Arabidopsis thaliana: one gene and its partners. The protein of the gene in region 4 interacts with the protein of the main gene of each other region in a pairwise test. Each region holds a gene or a part of one and is shown on either strand. Other genes may lie near its edges. The genes, in order: TY1, WAVH2, SLK2 and ADT4.

Region 1 (3,932 bases), on a different chromosome or scaffold from region 4:
AGCTCGCCCTCTCATGAAACCATCCATGGGGACGTCTTCTCCTACCACAAGCCTTGTGTACAGGCTCAAGCTTGATGAAGATACAGGGTACTGCTGGGACTCACTGATGCAGCTCCAACACTGTTCTGGAGAGCTGATCTTGTTCTTCCTCAACGGTGAGACTTACATTGGCCCTGGGTGTTGCAGTGCTATAAGAACCATTGGACGCAAGTGTTGGCCTACTATGATTGGTGTTCTTGGTTTTACTGCTCAAGAAGGTGATATGCTCCAAGGTTACTGTGATGGCAATGACTCTGACAACAATGGTGAAGACCATGCTCTTGCCTCCTCAACACTGCCTCTCTCCGTGAATTTCAAGACTACCGTTGTTAGATCTTCTGCTTCTCCTTCTAACCCTTGAGTCTTAGTATTCATCTTTACACTCCTGCTATGTTTTCTTTTGCTAAGAGAATTTTAATCTTTATGTAACTGGTGACGAATGCTTGAAAAATAGCGTCTCTGTTATTACTTTTGAGAATAAAAGATCATCATTACTCACAACAAGGTTTTACAAATCTGGCAAACATAATCTTCTTCTTCTCAAATTCTCCAAGTTAAATCAACCGAAAAACATCGCTATCACTAAGTCCTGAATAGGTCAGGGACAGTTGAAAAACATACAAATAATTAAAAAAGAGTTCATGATCCAACTATGGCTTCACTTTTAGAGAATCCTCAATTCGTTGAATGAGTTGTTTGGCCGTCAAAGCACCCTCCTGGAAATCACAAAAAAAGAAACGTTTGTGAGTGAGATTAAGAACCTTAAAACGAAAATGAAGAAATTCAAAGGCATTGAAGTCATCATACAAAGCGATCACAAGGTTCCCCATCTTTGAATAGGATGAAAGTAGGAAGTGCCTCAATCTTGTATTTATTAGCAATACTGGGGTATTTTTCGGTATCAATCTTCACCACCTGTATCTTGTCTTTCAGGGTTTCACTCACTTCATTGAGTATTGGAACCATGAACTGGCAAGGACCACACCTGCCAAACAAACAGTACATTCTGATTCCAAATCATCTGTTTAACAAATAAACTCGATAATAAGCAAACAGACTACACTGGATCCCAACATAGACCAAGTATACTCATTCATGATGAATAATAGTCAACTAGAACTGGTTGATGACCACTCAACTAACACATGTTATCATTTGACACCAAAACAAACTCACCAGGTTGCATAATAGTCAACTAGAACTGGTTTATCAGAGTTCACAAGCAGATCCTCAAATGAGTCAAATGTCTGCTTCTTGGCTTCAATCTGAAGTATGAACAAGAATGGTTTGTCATTTAGTTCAATCTAAATCAAGAAGTAGATAAAGGCACTCACTTTAAATCAATTCCAAACTCTAGAGAAAATCAGCTATAGAAACTAAAATAAGAAAAATTTCAAAATAGGAAAGCTATCATCAGCTCTACCATCAGAAGAAAGTTTGAAGCTTGAATTCAATAATTCATAGGGTAAAATTAAGTAAGCTAGAATTGAACAAAATATAAGCTTTGGAAAAAGATGTTTAAGCAGAGAAAGGCGATTACACGTCGAGGAGTGCATCGAGTCGTTGAAGATAAAGATGGAAACTTTAAGTCTCCGGTTCGAACCCGACGAACCGGAAACTGAAATTTGACGGCCGAGATAGAACGAGAAGCGAAAGCAGAAACACCTGACGATTCTTTCGAATTCAGCGACGGAACCGTAGAAGAAGAGAGAGAAATTGACGCCATGAAAGAATCAGAAAAAAACAAACGATCTCTTGATTCGGCGTTGGCGGTTGGTTAGGTTGATGATGACAAAAAAAGTTGGACACTTGTGGAAAAAAAACTCGAATTGACCAAAAAGAGAGAACGAACTCTGAAAGAAAATGACACAAGGTACTAGAAAGACAATGATGATCCACTACGGTCAAGTACACCGTATCTTTTTTGTTATAGGCCCACAAACATGTTCTAGGCCCACATGTTATAGGCCCGTTCCCAAACACCGATCACTCTTCAATTTAACTTTTTGCTCACAATCTTCAGGCTCAATCATATGACATGACAGATCTCATTGTAAATGCAATCGCAAAGGGTTATCATTATCAACTAGTACTATAAAGATAGCTGTTACTTCCCGCCAACGCAACTGGGACAGTTAAAACCGTTGAGGGTAACAAAAGACAAAACTCACGACTCCGTTTTTGAGTTTCCTGAAGATGGAAGTTACGAATATGTTCTTGTGGGCCTCTTCAAAGAAACGATATGAAATAGCCTAATTTAAACAAAACTAGAAAAGTGTGGACTAGAGAGAGACTTTAGCAAAAACTAAAAACAGATGTATCAAAAGAAGCTCACAACTAAAAAAGATGGAGCTTGAATTAGGTCTGAAGATCACTCGGACTAAAGACGATGTTTCTTCCTCTACAGATTTTCGGGTTGCCAGAGATTCTTTTGGTCATCGTTCACTTTCTCGAGAAACCAACTCTGTTTTCTTCCTCATTCTTCATCTCAAAGGTTCTATTCCCTCTCATATTTATTCACCTTTTTTTCTTACCTAGCATAGAGATTGAGATTGAAAACCAAATGCAGGATTTAAGAAGGATGGTATCGATATCGAGATAAACAAAGAAGGGAATCTGATTAAGATCAGCGGAAGAAAACAGGTTGAAGAGATGGTTTTGGTAAAGTGGGTGGAATGGAAAAAGGAAACAGAAATAAAGGAATTCAAAAAAGTGTTTCGGATTCCAGATATTGTAATTCTTGACAAGATCAAAGCGAGGTTTAATGAAGAAGATGGGACTTTAACTGTTACAATGCCTAAGAAAGTTAAGGGAATTACCGGTCTGAAGATCGAGGAAGAGGACGAAGAAGAGGAGATGAAAGAGCCGATAGTAGAAGAGAAAACAGAGGAGAAAACAGAACCAGAAGAAGAAATCAAAGAAGAGACAAAACCTGAGGAAGAAAACGAAGAAGCAGAAGAGCCACAGAGAGAAGAGGAAGAAGAGGTTGTTGAGGAAGGAACAAGAGATCATGAGGGGAAAAAAGAAGAAGAAATCGAAGATAAACCAAGAAAGAAGAGAAGAAAAAAGTTTCGTTTACCATGTTTTGCAGGATCCACTCTGCTTATGTCTATTATTGTTTTCATTATTCAACTGATTCAATCCAGAAATAAATGAAACCACACTCCTTAGGTTTTTAAGATAGGGTTCTTGTTGGTTTTTAAGGATAGAACCCACTTTCTTATTATCTGTTCTTCTTAGCCTTGTTCTTTAAAACAATAAAAGTCAACGTGTAATACAATCAAAATACAATCAGTATCTAAACCAAAAATTAGTAGGAGCGTATCAGCTAATAAATGGAAAGTATTTGACCCGAACCGTGTATAACGGCTAGATTATCACCGAACCTAAGGTTTGTGTTTGCTCTGGACTATAACAAACCCTAAGTGAAAAGGAAAAAAGGAAACTTGAATGTCAAACAAATAAATTTATATACCTGCGTCTCGCGTCTCCTCTCAAGTTAAAAACACAATTGCTCTGCATTTTTTTCAATTCTCTTCTTCGATTTCTGTCTGCTTCGTTTGCCTCTCTGTTCTCTTCTTCTTCCTTTTTGAGATTTCATTATTCATGTGTTGTTGCATCTGCTTGTTGGATTCACCCTAATCTTTGGTGTGATTCGTTGGTCTGGCCTAAGAACGACTCATATATACAACGGCTCTCTCTGTTCACTTAAAAAGCAACGAAGAAGACGAGAGAGATCACACACACAAGCCTCACGTCTTAATTTGTTTGCCTGCGATGATAAGATCTATCATCCACCGTAGAAACAGAGACAGAGAGAGAGATAGACGATTCGAAGGACATGTTGCCGGGATTTTAGGCTTCGAGAGTCATGATGTTGGAGGTTCTATCCG
Region 2 (5,392 bases), on a different chromosome or scaffold from region 4:
TTCCCTTTCATTAGTTGACATTAACATTGTCCATATGCAATATGTAACTGCGTGATGAATGATAGCTTAGTTTTTTTTTTTGTGAAAAAATAATAGCTTAGTTTTTTTAGTTATGATTTGACCATATATATAGTTCGAGATTCTTCTGCCACTGATCATTTTAGTGAATCACATCGAGAAGTGGACCTTTGACAATAGTTAATCATTTCATCCATTTTAAAAGTATACAAAATCATTGCATTCAAAACAAATTGCAACTTGGCGCTAGCTACATATAATTAGTAAATGTCTTAATGATATAAAATGAATGAATTTAAGCGAGAAGAAAGCTTTGCAACGGCGCATGACCTGGTTTCTACCACGGTGCACCCACCAAACCATTCACCAACAACCAACAAAGACAATCCCCACGCACTATTCAAATCATTCAAACCCGGTGCCTTCTATAACAAAATAGGCTATAATGATGATCACATGACTAATCATGATCATTCATTTGGAAAGATATAATATATTATAGATCCTCTTAAGTTAAACGGCATATGATAATATAAACTTAACTTTTGATTTTGAAGTCCAGCATTACAAGCACACTCTCTAATCCACTATACCTCAACTTTTAATTCTATATAGTACACAAAAAAAGCAGACTTCATTTATTTGATCTACAACTTTTTTTAACTATTCAGTCATTAATTTGGAGTTTTTGAAGATTACAAAAAGGAAGAAGAAGATAAAAATGCTAAAAGACCAATTAATTCCTTCTAATGTAGGGTCTCAATCTCTCTGCAATACAAAAGGCCACACCCGTCGGCTACTGCTTGTCGCTATCATGCACCTATGTGGGTCTTTTTCTGAATAATCATACTTCTATTATTTATACCTTACTAAATTATTGCTTATCCTCCTTATATAAATTATGTACCATTATATATTCAAAAATCATTGAAATCGAATTTTCGAAAAAAAGGGAAATTAAAATTAAAATCTGGCGTTTTCCAAGCCGTGCATATCGCTGACTCGATTTAAATGCTTCCTCATAATAGCCACTTTAGCTAATTTCTCGGCGGCTCTCCAAGCCGAAGTAGGGGTAAGCTGCTCCGGTTTATCTTCAGTTCGGTTTAATATACTATTTCTCGGTTTAATCCGGCTAAGTTCATTTAGCTCAACCTCCAAACTCCTTAAACTATCATCCGAATGAGACGCATTGGACCGAGCCGTCGTTAGAACCTGATACGCTCCGGATAAATCCTCACGCTCGATAAGCCGGCGTGAATCCGCTACAGCGCGGCACATGGAGTGTAAATTTCTCAGCCGTTCGATGCTTGAAGATACATATCTGACGGATTGTGGCCGTGGGATCAAAAATCGTTTTTCTTTAGGACATGTCATTGGCTGATGTGTCATTTGGTCAACGATCGACGACTGTACGGACATTACTTGGTGGGAACCACTCGACGAAGTCGGCACTTTGAGCTCAACGAGAAACTCTCTCTCCTCCTCCGCAAACAAATCTCCGACTTGGATGACAGAACCGGATCCGAAATTCTCGAGTCGACCGGTTAAAGAGTAAACCGATGAAATCTCAGTCAAATGAGATCCGTTGACCAAACTGAGATTTAGCTTCACGTTATGGAGAGTCACGTTGAGCAACGAAGCGATTCTTTCGGTGAACGCGTCTCGTAGCGGCGCGTGAAGCAACGCTCCAGGAGAAGCAATGTAAACGGAATGAACCGGGATCTCCGGACGAGAGAAACGCGTGGTAGACACGACGAACGGAATGCGCGTTGCGTTTAGTTTAGCTTTCAAAACTGCCTCCGGTTGATCTTGACCGTCCGATAAAACAAAGATGCTCGTTGACGGATTCTTCTCCCGCCGATCTTCAACGACTTTAACCGCTTTCTTCAACGCGTCGTTAACGCTCATTCCAACTCCGCCGGTGGTTTCCATTCCGCCGAGTGCGTCGACCATTCGCCGCGCCGATCGTCTTCCTTTCGCCGTCATTCGTCGTAACGGCATTAACCGTTTTGACCCCGTCGAGAAAACGACGATCGATAAACGATCCATTTCTCGGAGAAGAGAGATCACCGATCTCATCGCGTGTTTAACCGTTTGCAAATTAGCACCGCCGTTGCTTAAATCGAGAACCGTTACCAGATCTATCGATGGTCTTCGCGCCTTAATCGCATCGGTGATGGACGACGGCGACGGAGACGCTTTTAGTTTCATGATGACGACGTGTGTCTCCTTCTTTTTCCCGGTTTCCACAACGGCAGATTCCGGCAGCAACTTAACCTCCAGATTTCCTGAGATTGAAGGAACCATATCAGACGTAATCGAAGAATCTCGGAAGAATCCGGGGAAGTCATCGTCATCTTCAACGTCGTCGTTTTCGTCTGATTCATGTATAGTGTTGATCTGAGCAAGAGAAACCGGCGAATAAGCTAACGGCTCATCGTCGTTGTACACTCTCAGTGACTTCCCCGTTTTGATCTCTCGGATCTCGGGTCGTCTAATCGGGTCGGATCCGAAGTTATTATTAACAGCCGGATAATTCGACTTTGGCGCGTGATTCCATGCGGCAGAGCAAAACGGACAACGCTTGTCTTCTAATCCATTGACGCAAGAAAGGTGAAACGAATGTGAACACTCCGCCGTGAAAATTGCCGCCGTCGAGTTGCTTTGATTTGAATTCACTCTCTGCAAACAAATCGCACATCTACTACTATTACTCTGCATCCACACACACACAAAACGGAGCTTTAGATTATGTCTTTCAAATTAAGAACTTGATTGAATCAAAAGTAACTACCTTGTTGAGAAGAAGCGTGGCACGGAGGAGAGAGACGCCGCCGCCGCCTTGAGAGGAAGAAGAAGATGATGATTTAGGAGAAGAAGGGTTAGAGAAAAACTTGGGACTTGAGCTGTTACTAGTCCTTGGAGTAGCATTGCTCGTAGTCCTGCAATGGAGTTTGGGACTAGTTGGAAGAGATGGGATAGTGACTGATGTGGAAGCTGAGGAGCGGCATCCAGTGCCGCTTCCGCCGCGTGATCGGAGACGAGGAGTTGAAGGGTTGGATAAAAAACCAAACTTTGATCGGAATCTTGGTGTGGGAATTGGAGGATCAGTAGTGTGTAATGATGAATGTTGTTGAGGTTTATCTTGATTACTTGAAACGGAAGTGCAAAACGCTTTTCTCCAACCAAACACCATTTCCTGTGAGAAAGAAATAAGAAGAGAAGCTCTCTTTTTTTCTATATTATTCTTCTTCTTCTTCTTCTTCTATTTGTGGAAGTAATTATAGAGAAGAAGAAGAAGGACTTTGGGCATAATGGATCATAAGGAAGATGGAGAAATTAAATACTAAGATAAAGACTATAGAGAGATTTCTTTTTCTTTAGTGATGTTTCGATAAAGACATTTTTTTTTATGTTATTTTAAGTTGTAGGAATATTATAAGGTAAAAATTGTGACTTTTATGCGTGTGAATTGGCTTTTGTTTCCATTTGCATGTAATTGTTTTGCCTCGAAGAAAATAATCACTGATCCGTTAAGTCCTTCTTTTTTTTGGGTCAATTTTGCTATTTTTTTTACATATTTCAAGTGTTGTTTCATTGGGATGGACGATAAAGTTAAAAGTCAACGGTAATAACCGACCATATGCAAAATGAGATTTCAAATAACTTGAGACGCGGAGATCTTTGTTTTCCATTTGCATGTAAAATCTTTCTTTTCAAAATATTAAACAGTTTATTAGATTGTCTAATGTGGATTCCTCTTGAATGTTCCACAATGTGGTTCGATTATATAAATCATTTCCAATCTTATCGGATTCTTCGAAATGCAGATTGTGATGGAGTGTAAGGTCAAACATGTGGGCACGTGACGTTACAGTCTGAGCAATAAACGGTAAGCTTATTTTCCTTACGAAATATAAATGATACTAAAACACGTTGTATTCGAGTTATCTTCATGATTGTGAATTGAGTTGTATATTTAATTGATAGTTGCTTACGTAATTACATACTGGCTGGAGCGAGGAATTTAACCTAAAGTTTTGGGTTTGGAATTTTGTAAAAGGTCTTTGATGGAGAAAGGTCGAAAAGTTTTTTTTTTTCATTTATTTACCAACAAAATGATTTATAATATATGGTGACGACAAGAGCTAATGATATGACATAAAGATTAGACTGGTCCAGGTCCAGCAAATTTTGAATTCTTCTTGCTATTGCAAAAAAATTGATGGTTTTGGTCTGATTTTGATTTCGACACTTCTATTATTTTGATTTGACAACCTTTTAGATTGGCTGATCAAGTGCTCGAGATAATTAGTGTCCTAAATCAAAGGTATTAACTCCAAAATACAAATTACTGCAATTTGTGGCCTCTAGTATCTTGCAGTTATGCTGAAGAGCCACATGAATGAATGAAACAATAAATGGGTGGGTACATATATGATAAGGGGGCTGCTAAACAAAATTGTAGTTAAGCATTTGTAAATGGTTTGGTAGGTTTTTTAAGTGGCTGCCATTGTAGAGACAACACATGACTTCGTGCGTGCATGCCATGGAATCATTGATTATCAACCAAAAAATGAAAATATTAGTTAGTTAATCTTGTTAAGAATGTAATGACTTATATTATACGAATAGCTTTACACAAGTATATATACAAGTACAGAGGAGGTTACACTAGGGTTGTACAAATATAGAATGTTCCATAAAGGAGACAGAGGAATATTATGATATTAAAGAGAGATGATCCTATGTATCCTTAACACGCCCCCTCAAGATGGAGGGGCTATGCACACTCCAATCTTGTCTCGAAGTTCCGTGAAGTGATTTCGAGGAAGCGGTTTTGTTAATGCATCAGCGAGTTGGTCTCTAGTGTTGACGTGAGCCACACGAAGAATGCCTTGCTGAACTTGTCCACGAATAAAGTGATAGTCTATGGCTATGTGCTTCATCCTGGAATGGAAAACCGGGTTTGCGCAAAGGAAAGTAGCACCCACATTATCACAATAGACCACAGGCGGTTTGGGAAGTGTGATCCCAAGCTCCGTGAGAAGGCTGCATATCCACTGGATTTCACAAGCAGTATTTGCCACCGATCGATATTCAGCTTCTGTTGAAGACCTTGCAACGCTCTTTTGTTTCTTGGCAGTCCATGAGATTGGATTTTTCCCGAGGTAAACGATGTAAGCATTTGTTGAAACGCAATCTTCTGAGTCTCCGGCCCAATCTGCATCTGAAAAGGCATGAAGGGAGAGCTCGTTTTGAGCAGCAAAGAAAATGTCGTGAGTCGTAGTTCCAGCCAAATATCTAAGAACTCGTTTTGCAGCTTGCCAATGATCATTGGTTGGTCTGTGCATAAACTGAGAGAGGCGGTTTA
Region 3 (6,403 bases), on a different chromosome or scaffold from region 4:
TCTGATGTAGTTCTATGTATATGATATCATATGTTTAGATTTATCATTTATATAATGTTTTGAGTGTATATTTTGAGTGATTAATTAGATGAGTTGAGGAGACGTTTGGCATGGTCACATGGTCTAGTTAGTTCACAAGATTTACATGTGAAAGTAAATCACTCTGTTCTCTATCCACCACGCTGAGTGCAAGGTTTTTTTATTTATTTATTTTATTCTTTAGTGCAAAGCAAAAATATTTCATATACAAAATTATGTAATATATGAAATTAACTATGGTAAAAGGAGTTGACAAATTATCTCTTGTAGATAGTAGGATGGTTGGTATATTGAAGATGAAAAGTATTACTGTATTAGTGCAAGTAGATGAAGATTACATATCCGTATTTGTGGAATTTTGTATGATTTAAAATCACGTCACAAATACATTTTATTAAAATTTCAGAGAAAAAAATAGCATGTGTCTGGCTTGTTTGTGACGTGTTACCGATGTTTGTAACTGTATCAGCTTTAAATAAACGAGGCTTAAAAAAAGTCATAAGAAAAAAGGTAAAATATTGATTGATAGCGATGAGTTCCTGAAGAACAGTCTTTTTTCTTTTCCAGAATTAGTAACACTTTCCAGAAAAACCTCTTCATAAAAAGAGAAGCTTTAATCTAAGAAGAAGAAAGAACAACAACACAGTAGACACGTTAACATTGAATCCCCCTCATCAGATTCATATACCTAAGAAAGTTAGTCTTTAGTAACTCGTTCTTTACAAAGACAACATTGGAGCTAACTATCAAAATGCCTCTCATGACTTCCAAGAATATCCTCCCATGCTTTCATCAACCTCATTGCTAAAAACCCCGTTATTCCCAAAGTTGAGCGATGTATTAGAGATAATACCTTCCAGGTTTTGGCTTTGGTCTAACCCCTTGATGCCTCTGAATCTGTTGGAGGTGCTTGGTGTTTCAGCTGCTGCGGGAACATAATCTGTTCTGTTTCTTCCCATGTTGGTATTGCAATTCATCATGTTCTGACCAGAAAGTGACTGTTGTTGTTGACCGGAGCCTCCATTGCTGTTTGCCATCTGTTGCCATATTTGATGAATCATTTGTTGTTCCAATGTTTGGTTACCGCTACTACAGGAAGGTGGCTGTTGGTGGTATTGCTGGGTTGAGCCATTATAACTGGAGCTTGGCATTTGCCGCTGAGGAGATAGATGGGAAGATACACCACTTATTGATGGGCTATGCACAAAACCAGGTAACAAGGGACTAGTTCCTTGATAGCTCGGGGATGCACTCCGGTTTCTTGATGGTTCTTGCTGGATTGTGGTGTTGTTTAGGTCTGAATTCAGATGGTTTTGTTTCATGAGCATGCTCTGGTAGTTGGTAAGCGCAAAAGCGGCAGCTTGTGCAGAGCCGGGAAGAGATCCTTGACCGCTCATGTTGTTCATTGGTATGTTTATCCCGGAATTGCGCAAGGCCATTAGCTTGTTGAGACTGTTCCTATCAGGTGGAAGCCCTCGGGCAGCCGCTAGTTGCTCCATCTCCTGCATCTGAGGTTTACCAGCCTTCATTCGATATGGATAGCTCTTCAAAGCCTCTGCAAATGTTAAAAGGTAGCAAGAAAGCTTTTTATAAGCACAGCCAAGTAAAAAAAAAGCGTTTTGATGAATCTCAGGGACTCTCTGGGATTTATGTATTAACTTACCGATTGGACCCACTTTTTGGTCACGGCAAAAGTCAATCATATCTTTCATGCTGCTGACAACCTCAGAAATCTGTTTAAAGAAGATGGCAAGAGTTAAACAGTAAAAAGGAGACACGCCACCAGGAAAATGCAAGAAAGTAGGCAGAGAGATACCTGCAGACACCGAACATATCGTTTTGAGAAGCCTAAGTCATTGAGTGAATGTGACTCCAAGCTTTTTGCTAGTTGACGTCCAGCAGCCATGACCCTGGAGCAAAAGACTTGGCATCAGTACATCATATTTGTATATATTAAGCTAAAATCGCTTTGATCTTCTTTGCATCAGTGAAAAATCTTACCTAATTACCGTACAAGATGCAAGAAACAATGAAATTGAATTGATTGAGAAATATGGAAGAAAGAGAGTGAAATATTGTCTAGAATCATCAAGACTCACATGTTGCTATTAGCTTGCAAATCTTGTTGATGAATCCCATCTGATCCACTTTGATCAATTGTGCTCTGACATTTCTCTGCAACCTGAAGCAATTGGTTCACCTGCACGACCATAGGGAGCAGACATTCAAAAAATCTCAAGACCAGGGATTTCAAAAAGAGTCACAAAGATTGTAAGAACCATTAATGTTACCTGTGGAGCTACTAGGCGACGAGGAAGTAGTTCTTCATGTCGACGAGTACAGAACTCCCATGAGAGAATCTGGCAAAAGGAAAAAGGATAAGCTAAGTTACTTTAATACACATTAATGATTAAAAGTATTTGGAATCAAAAGCTCTTTAAACCACCTTCAGCTCTTGGGAGAATATAATCCGAAGATGGCCTTCGCGAACAACACGGATATGTTCGTACACACTCTCCTGAACTGCTTTTCCATACTCTAACACCATAATTCCAGATCCATATCTGCGTTCAGACGGTACACCCAGATAAAGAAGCTCGTCCAGGACACCACTTGCGAATTTGATTTCGTTAAGCCTTGGCAAGACATCAAAAGTTGCTTCTGCAGAATCCATAAGAAAAAGTTACTAAGAGAAGATGTTTTGCTACCATAAACATTTTTGAAATTTCCCTCTTCTTCATCAGGGTATAAGCAAATTGGAACTTACCAAATCCTCTTCCCGATTTAGAACCACATAGATCACACTGCCATTCATCCTGCAAATGGAAAATACAAAAAGCAAGAATAAGTAACCTATTTGTAACTACACCGTAAGATCAGCATAAAGAGTATGAAACCAAAAAAAACAAAGAGTCAGGGAAACAAACCGTGGCTGCCTGAGGAGAAACACCAAGTGCACTATGCCCCACATTATCATAATGAGAAAGACACCATCTTTTCTTTGCCCGGGGAGAAAAATACTCCGTCACAAATTTCCTCCAGTAAACAATACTGCTCTCCTACAAAATCAGCAATGACACGACTGGTATCTGTCAAGAGCTTTTTTCTAGAATACACATAAAACAAAAAATTTGACGACTACATGCACACTCACAGAAGGCCTTTGTCGCTGATGATATAGGTACTGCATCAATCTTCGAGCGCAAACGCTATTTTCATAAGGTCTTGGCCCACCGGTTAGTTGCATTTGCATTCCTTGTTGTTGCAACTGTTGCTGTTGCTGTTGGTGCTGCTGCTGCAACTGTTGCTGTTGCTGCACTTGTTGCTGCTGCTGCAGTTGAACCCGTTGCAATGGTGGGAGGGACTGGAGATATTGTTGCTGTTGCCTCAGCTTTTGTTGCTGAAGCAAGATTTGGAACTGTGGATTTTGGCCTTGTTGTTGTTGTTGCTGCTGCTGCTGCAATATATCCTGTCTCTGAAGCCACTGACGTAAAATCTGCTGCTGCAAAGCATCATCCTGCTTTGAATCTAATCTAGGTTTTTTCCGTGCTTGAGTTAAGTTGTTTGGATCCTGAAAGAACGATTCAGAAGCACGCCGAGCCATAGAAAGCGGGATTTGATTAGTTTGTGATGTAGGCAGTGATGTAGCACTAGAGCCACCTAGCTGAACACTAGGATCATGCCGTTGTACCACAGTCGACCCATCTACAACTGATGAACCAGATATGCTGATATTATTAGAAGAGAACGACATAGGAGACGCCGGTAAACGCATATATGACTCATTATTGATACTAGCACTACGCTGCAAATGAGGACCACCTCCAGAGAGCCCTGAATTAGCATCTGTGACAAGCGAACTAGCTCCTGCGCTTGGACCGGGTGTTGAAACACTCATCATAACCGGATTATGCATATCACCAGAAACCATACTGAGATTGTGATAGCCACCAGTAGGTCCACCACATCCAGGAGCAGAGTTAGATGAATTCCCATAAGAGGAAGTCAAGTGAGAGTTAATGAAGCTTTGAGATTCATCATCTCCTTGAAAGAAAATCCCAGAAGTTGAAGAAGCCATTAAAGGGTAGGTCCCAAGTGAGTCTGAAATCCAAAGTTTCTTCCTCAATGCGACACAAATGTCCCACCTTTACTACTGATACCTACAACATTATACATGTATCGATTAAAATCAGATCAATAACATTCCCTAACACATGAATCTGGTGCGTTATTAAAGATACACAGACATTGAACTTAACCACTGAAATAAAAAAAAAACCAAATCAAAACCCTAATTTTAAAGTTCGTTACTTAACATAACTAACCGAGAAACTAACCAATCCCCAAAAAAAAAAAAAATAGATAGCAATCCCTTAAAAATCTCGGAGTTAGATATTTAAAAAGCAACCGAAATTAAATTACAAAATAAAAAAGCGAAGAACACGGAAACAACGTACGAAGAACTGTTAAGTGGAGCTTCGATCAATATAGAACAAAAGCTGAGAGATCACAACTAGAAATTAAAACTAAACCCAGCTGAATTGAAACAGAAGAAGAGGAAGATAATTAATGAGACAAGAAGAAGAAGAAGAAGAAGGAAAAAAATTTGCCTGGAAATTTCAAGCTGTAATATAAAGTTAAAATAAACAATCTTCTTATTTATTTTGTGTTTGTTGTTTTTGCATAAAAAAAAGGAAAATCCTGGAGAGAGCTGGAACTAGGCAATGAACTTGACGCGCCTTTGTTAATATACCTAGAGGAAATCGTAAGAACCAAATCTGACCGGACAAGCCGGTGACCCATCTGCTTATGGTTTTGCAAGTACTTTTTATTACCCGCTAGTCAATACTGACACGTGTCTTGTTTATCGTAACAAGTATCGTATGACCGATTGGTAACCTTTAGCTGTTTTGATTGCGTGGCATATTCTTGACCTTGCGATCAATAAAGTTAAATCAATTGTGGATCGTTCGATTGAGAGCATGGATCGTGTGCGACGCGTGTAGTTTAAAGTTGATTGACCAAATTATGTTTTTTATTTTATTTTTTTGTAATAACTGTACCAATGATTGCAGCTGTAAATGAGTGGGCTTACGACAAATATCCTCTTTTTTGCATGATTACTTATTGACCCCAATATTACTCCCTTTGACAATTCAACCCCTAAAATATTTCGACAAGATCATCCAACTATATGGAGCTACGACCCAACAGGCCTATTTCAGTATTTTTAGGCCCATTATTAGCCCATAAATAATTATACTCTGTTCTCCAACCGTTCAAAGCTCTGTTCTCGAACAGTCTTGAGGTCAAACCTAACCGGTGTCTCTGTCTCTAAAGCACTAGCTTGTTCAAGAAATGATCAAAGAAAGCTCGTGTGTGGTCCGTACGGTCCATGGATCATTCAAAACTTGGCAAGAAGACACACAACACCGACGATAATTCTAGACAATGTGGATCTGCAAGAAAGAGAGATTTTTAAGTTGCAGAGTTTGTCGGAGTTAAAGGCGTGACGTGTAACACAAGTTTCTGTTTCAGTTATTTCATTAGCTTACCTGTACTTAGAAACGTAGAACACGACTTATAAAATACAGAAGAACGATGACAAATAAATATAAATGTAACAACGACATTAATATATCGTCATTATTTATCAGAAATAGAAATAAATATGTGGGGGATACAACATTTATATTAAATATATGTATCTGTGATGGACTGATAATGAGACATAACAACAATCACATTAGCTGTCACTCTTTTCTTTAACTTTTTTTTCTCATTGTATAAAATTTTATAAAACAATAATCTGCTTTATATGATTCTTATCTTTCTTCTTCTTCCACGAGTTCTGTCCAGAAACAGAAACATTAATTTATTACAAAACAAAGTGTATTTACTTCTCTTTGCTCAGACGTTTCTTTTTTCTTCTTCTTCTTCTTGATCTTTTTCAGAAATCAACTTCATCTCATCATTCCTCTGTTTTTTTCTCTCTATCTCTCTTAATAAAGAAAATGATGAAAATGAGTATCGGAACAACAACTTCCGGCGACGGTGAAATGGAGCTCCGACCTGGAGGAATGGTTGTACAGAAAAGGACGGATCATAGCTCAAGCGTGCCACGTGGCATTCGGGTTCGGGTCAAATACGGGTCGGTCCATCACGAGATCAGTATCAACTCTCAATCTACTTTCGGTAAACGACACAAAACATTCCGAGTTATACAGTATTTCCTTTATACTATTAGTATGCTCTGTTTTTGGAATTTGATTGTTGTTGTTGTTGAATTTAACAACAGGGGAATTAAAGAAGATATTGTCTGGTGCGACAGGAGTTCATCATCAAGACATGCAGATTATATACA
Region 4 (4,185 bases):
CGAAAAATATTAATATTTCATTTTGTTTACCTAAAACAATTTCCAAATAGGGGTAAAATGGTCATTAAAAAATTTAAAGAGGGTAGAAATGAAAATGACAAATAGGAAAGAGTATAATTAAAAAAGGATAATGTGAAAAGGTCATTTTCAGCAATTATTCAGAAAAGAATATAAGATAATGATTCTGTCGGAAAATTCAATGTTACACTTTTTTTTTACGGAAACAAGATTTTGTTACTTTTTACGGGATGACATAGTTTGCGACTTTTACTGGAAAACAGTTTAAGTAAAAAAATCACAAATTTAGGGATTTTGGCATAAAACACACAATTTTGCGGTTTTTTGTAGTAGAAACGGATTCAATATCCAAGATCCTGAAATATGTTATCAGTCAAATACAAATCATGTATATAAATATATGCTCCCGAAATGACAGATCATAGATCACCTTCCGAGTTTCGTAAAACAGTATTCACTTTGTTAATTAATTACCAAATATTTTCACCAAAGCGAACAAATAATAGACATCGTCAAAAATGAAAATGACCAACAACTTCATAAATCATAATAAATACAAAACCATTTACTATATATGTGTCCATTATGGTCTGCGCATGCTCTCACAGCTTGGCGATTGTGTCAAAGTAAAAGAAGGTGAGCTGAACCGTGTTATTCGTGGACATATAAAATTCCACATATGAGAAAGTGAACTTTGGGCCTACTATATATTTTCGTAATCAAAATTTTTATTAATTTCTGAATTCATTTATCCTCTATATATTAAATTATTAATAGAGAATCACACTTAAAAAACAAAATTTAGTTACAGTCGTATTTACAGAAATGCCAGCTGATGTGTCAGAGCAATTCTCAATCAATTTACTTCATTGTCCCTCATTTACTAGATCATTTATAAAATTTATCATTAGTAGTACATATAAATATCTCAATAACAGAAACAATAAAAAGTAAATCCAATTAAAAGTAGTAAATAATTAAAAAAAGAAATTCCAATTAAAATAATCTAATAATTAAGCAAGTAATATTTCAGAACTTAATATAGAACTACTTTCGTTTTTATATAGAAACATAAATCATATGTTAACAAAAATATTAATATAGTACTACTTTCATTTTTCTAATCAGATATTACCAATACATTTATAAATAAAGTTTTTTCCAAAAATAATATCAATTACACTTAAGTAAATTATAAATATTCAGAAGATTCTAAAAATATAATTTTAATTTAATTTAATAAGAAAATTATAAAAATAATAACTAATATATTTATACATATTTAATAACAATCAATATACGGGCAATAATAATTTTAATGCAAAAACTAGATGGTTCAAAAAAAAAATATTACATTAAATAATACACAGGCAAATTTCAGATTTCAAATAATAAAAAATTTACTATAATATATTTATCCCACACATAGTGCGGATAAACTATCTAATTTTTCTTGAAGTAGGTAACTAAGTTTTAATTGAAAAACAAACAATTAAAAAACTATATATATATATATACATATGTATATATAATAATAGAATATTCAATACTTTTTAAGAGAAATTTTACCATCCACTGCTCAAAAGAAACACCAATGATCTTGATATTTGTAGAAAAATCTATGGACGTAACACCAACAATACAAAACCATGGTAAGAACTAAGAAGAAATGAAGAATATCGCTTTCACGTAAACCAACAATATCATATATTTCAATAAAGACAACTATTATTATAGTTTTCAGAAAGAAAAAAAAGTATAGAAATTACATGGAAGGTGGTAGGTGAAGGATTTTACCGAATTACATACGTCAAGACTAATTTTGTCAAAAACAAAACAAAATTTATTCTTGTGTGTTAGTGTGTATATAAGACCATCTCTCTTCTCCTTTATCTCTCAGCTTGAGCTTCTCTCTCAACGAAAGAACTCAAGCTTTCCAACACTATAAATCTATAATACAGCTTTTATTCTCAAATTTTGTTTGTCTTACCATCATTACCAAACCATGCAAGCCGCAACGTCGTGTGATCTCAAGTTCCGATCAACAGATCCGACGTCTAGGAACAAATGTTTCTCCCACGCGATTCCAAAGCGCGTGGCTGTTACGTGCGGTTATAGGTCGGAGTCGTTTAGCTTCCCTAACGGTGTCTCCGTGAGTCGATCTGATTGGCAAAGCTCATGTGCCATTTTATCTAGTAAAGTTGCTTCTGTTGAAAATACCGGTGGTTTAGCGGACAAAATCGCCGCCGTTAATGGTCACACGAACGGCTCTGTGAATCTTGGTCTCGTCGCCGTTGAGTCAACTAACGGAAAGTTAGCTCCTGCTCAGCCGTTGACTATTACTGATCTATCTCCGGCACCGTTGCATGGTTCTAGTCTACGTGTAGCTTACCAAGGCGTTCCCGGAGCTTACTCGGAAGCAGCTGCCGGAAAAGCTTATCCCAATTGCGACGCCATTCCTTGTGACCAGTTTGACGTTGCTTTTCAGGCGGTGGAGCTTTGGATCGCTGATCGAGCTGTGCTTCCGGTGGAGAACTCACTCGGTGGTTCGATCCATCGAAACTATGATCTTCTTCTCCGTCACCGTCTTCACATCGTTGGAGAAGTTCAGATTCCGGTCCACCATTGCCTCCTCGCACTCCCGGGAGTCCGAACTGACTGTGTTTCGCGGGTGATCTCTCACCCGCAAGCCCTAGCGCAGACGGAACACTCCCTCGACGTCCTTACACCACATGCAGCGCGTGAGGCTTTCCATGACACAGCGGCTGCTGCGGAGTATATCTCAGCTAACGACCTACATGACACGGCGGCTGTGGCGAGCGCACGCGCCGCTGAGCTTTACAACCTCCAGATATTAGCGGATGGGATTCAAGACGACCCGGGGAACGTCACTCGTTTCCTAATGTTGGCGCGTGAGCCTATAATCCCACGCACGGACCGGCCATTCAAGACTAGCATCGTCTTTGCTGCCCAAGAGCACAAAGGAACTAGCGTCCTCTTTAAAGTCCTCTCGGCTTTCGCTTTCAGAGACATTAGCCTGACCAAGATCGAGTCCCGGCCTCACCATAACCGCCCGCTTAGGGTTGTTGGTGACGGGAGCTTTGGGACGTCGAAGAACTTCGAGTACATGTTTTACGTGGATTTTGAGGCATCGATGGCTGAGCCGCGTGCACAGAACGCGCTTGCGGAGGTTCAAGAGTACACGTCGTTCCTAAGGGTGCTGGGAAGTTACCCCATGGATATGACACCATGGTCCATGACATCCACAGAAGAAGCATGACCCCATCGCCAAAAACAAACTCACCAATAAATTTATTAAATTATTCTGTTCTTTCTTTTTTTGTGAAAATTGTAGTATACATTGAAATTAAACCGTAAATGTAGAGCTCATTATTCACGTGGTGATTAGGAGAAAACAAAATTTTATTTGTCTGTTACTAGCTACCAGATATATCTTACATTCTTACTTAATAGTTATGAACATTGTGGTTTATTCGCAGAATCTTTTTGAGTTCCTTGGTTTTCTTTGGTAAATTCACTCGATTTTAACCAAGAAAAGCAAAAATGATTGGCATTACCAAAAACAAAGACATATATTTACACATATTTTTTAGAAAAATGTGATCAGTTTTGTAACTTTGTTTATCTTAACAACGTTATTAGTATTTTTACTACAAATTTCTATTAAATCATATTTTTAGTAGAGATGATCCTAATATTTTCTTCAATATCAAAAGCTTAAGACCAAATTCTTTTATGTAATTATCAGCATAATGTTGTTACTAAAACTTTCTGTTAGGACTTCATCTCAAGTTCACTAAGCTCAACCACAACATATGTATACCATTAAACAATCGCTTACATGATAAAAAAAAGTAAACCAATGAAAATGAATGTGAATAAAAATCAACTTATCATATTTAATATACAATACAAAGATTTTGTTCGAAGTTTATATAATATTCACAAAACAAGTCTCCATTATTGTAGTTGGTGATATAATTTCCAACATCATTAAAATATTTTGTGAAGATTTCCTTGAAGTTTTCACGAGTAGATACAAAAAAAAAAAGTTATGGTCACCGGTCACGTGTGAACTCAACTCAAGGGTTCAACGTTTGGTTTCTAGGTGAGTCGCAAGAAATTAGCAATATAATTTCCAAGAAA

Evidence for each region.
Region 1: the proteins of ADT4 (region 4) and TY1 interact in a two-hybrid assay, tested with the Arabidopsis thaliana proteins (one large-scale study listed by BioGRID).
Region 2: the proteins of ADT4 (region 4) and WAVH2 interact in a two-hybrid assay, tested with the Arabidopsis thaliana proteins (one large-scale study listed by BioGRID).
Region 3: the proteins of ADT4 (region 4) and SLK2 interact in a two-hybrid assay, tested with the Arabidopsis thaliana proteins (one large-scale study listed by BioGRID).

Annotation. Positions count from the first base shown.
Region 1 is NC_003070.9:28,811,184-28,815,115, forward strand, and holds TY1 (thioredoxin Y1), read right to left. Parts: upstream 1,982-3,932; 5' UTR 1,766-1,981; coding exon 1,580-1,765; exon of another isoform or gene 1,305-1,579; coding exon 1,216-1,304; intron 1,025-1,215; coding exon 847-1,024; intron 756-846; coding exon 690-755; 3' UTR 502-689; downstream 1-501. Other genes in the region: EC1.1 (egg cell-secreted-like protein (DUF1278)), read left to right, coding at 1-400; AT1G76770 (HSP20-like chaperones superfamily protein), read left to right, coding at 2,386-2,533, 2,609-3,195. UniProt on the Arabidopsis thaliana protein: Thiol-disulfide oxidoreductase that poorly activates chloroplastic malate dehydrogenase (NADP-MDH) and fructose-1,6-bisphosphatase. Provides reducing equivalents for peroxiredoxin Q.
Region 2 is NC_003076.8:26,259,294-26,264,685, reverse strand, and holds WAVH2 (Zinc finger (C3HC4-type RING finger) family protein), read right to left. Parts: upstream 3,551-5,392; 5' UTR 3,215-3,550; coding exon 2,813-3,214; intron 2,734-2,812; coding exon 982-2,733; 3' UTR 516-981; downstream 1-515. UniProt on the Arabidopsis thaliana protein: Probable E3 ubiquitin-protein ligase involved in the regulation of root growth. Acts as a positive regulator of root gravitropism.
Region 3 is NC_003076.8:24,934,424-24,940,826, forward strand, and holds SLK2 (SEUSS-like 2), read right to left. Parts: upstream 4,817-6,403; 5' UTR 4,497-4,816; exon of another isoform or gene 4,200-4,496; 5' UTR 4,118-4,199; coding exon 3,194-4,117; intron 3,099-3,193; coding exon 2,967-3,098; intron 2,856-2,966; coding exon 2,807-2,855; intron 2,701-2,806; coding exon 2,486-2,700; intron 2,400-2,485; coding exon 2,331-2,399; intron 2,240-2,330; coding exon 2,139-2,239; intron 1,950-2,138; coding exon 1,856-1,949; intron 1,773-1,855; coding exon 1,703-1,772; intron 1,595-1,702; coding exon 798-1,594; 3' UTR 539-797; downstream 1-538. Other genes in the region: BAG2 (BCL-2-associated athanogene 2), read left to right, coding at 6,054-6,234, 6,338-6,403. UniProt on the Arabidopsis thaliana protein: Probable transcription regulator that functions in the development of the carpel margin meristem similarly to SEUSS (SEU).
Region 4 is NC_003074.8:16,269,736-16,273,920, forward strand, and holds ADT4 (arogenate dehydratase 4), read left to right. Parts: upstream 1-1,775; 5' UTR 1,776-2,023; coding exon 2,024-3,298; 3' UTR 3,299-3,678; downstream 3,679-4,185. UniProt on the Arabidopsis thaliana protein: Converts the prephenate produced from the shikimate-chorismate pathway into phenylalanine.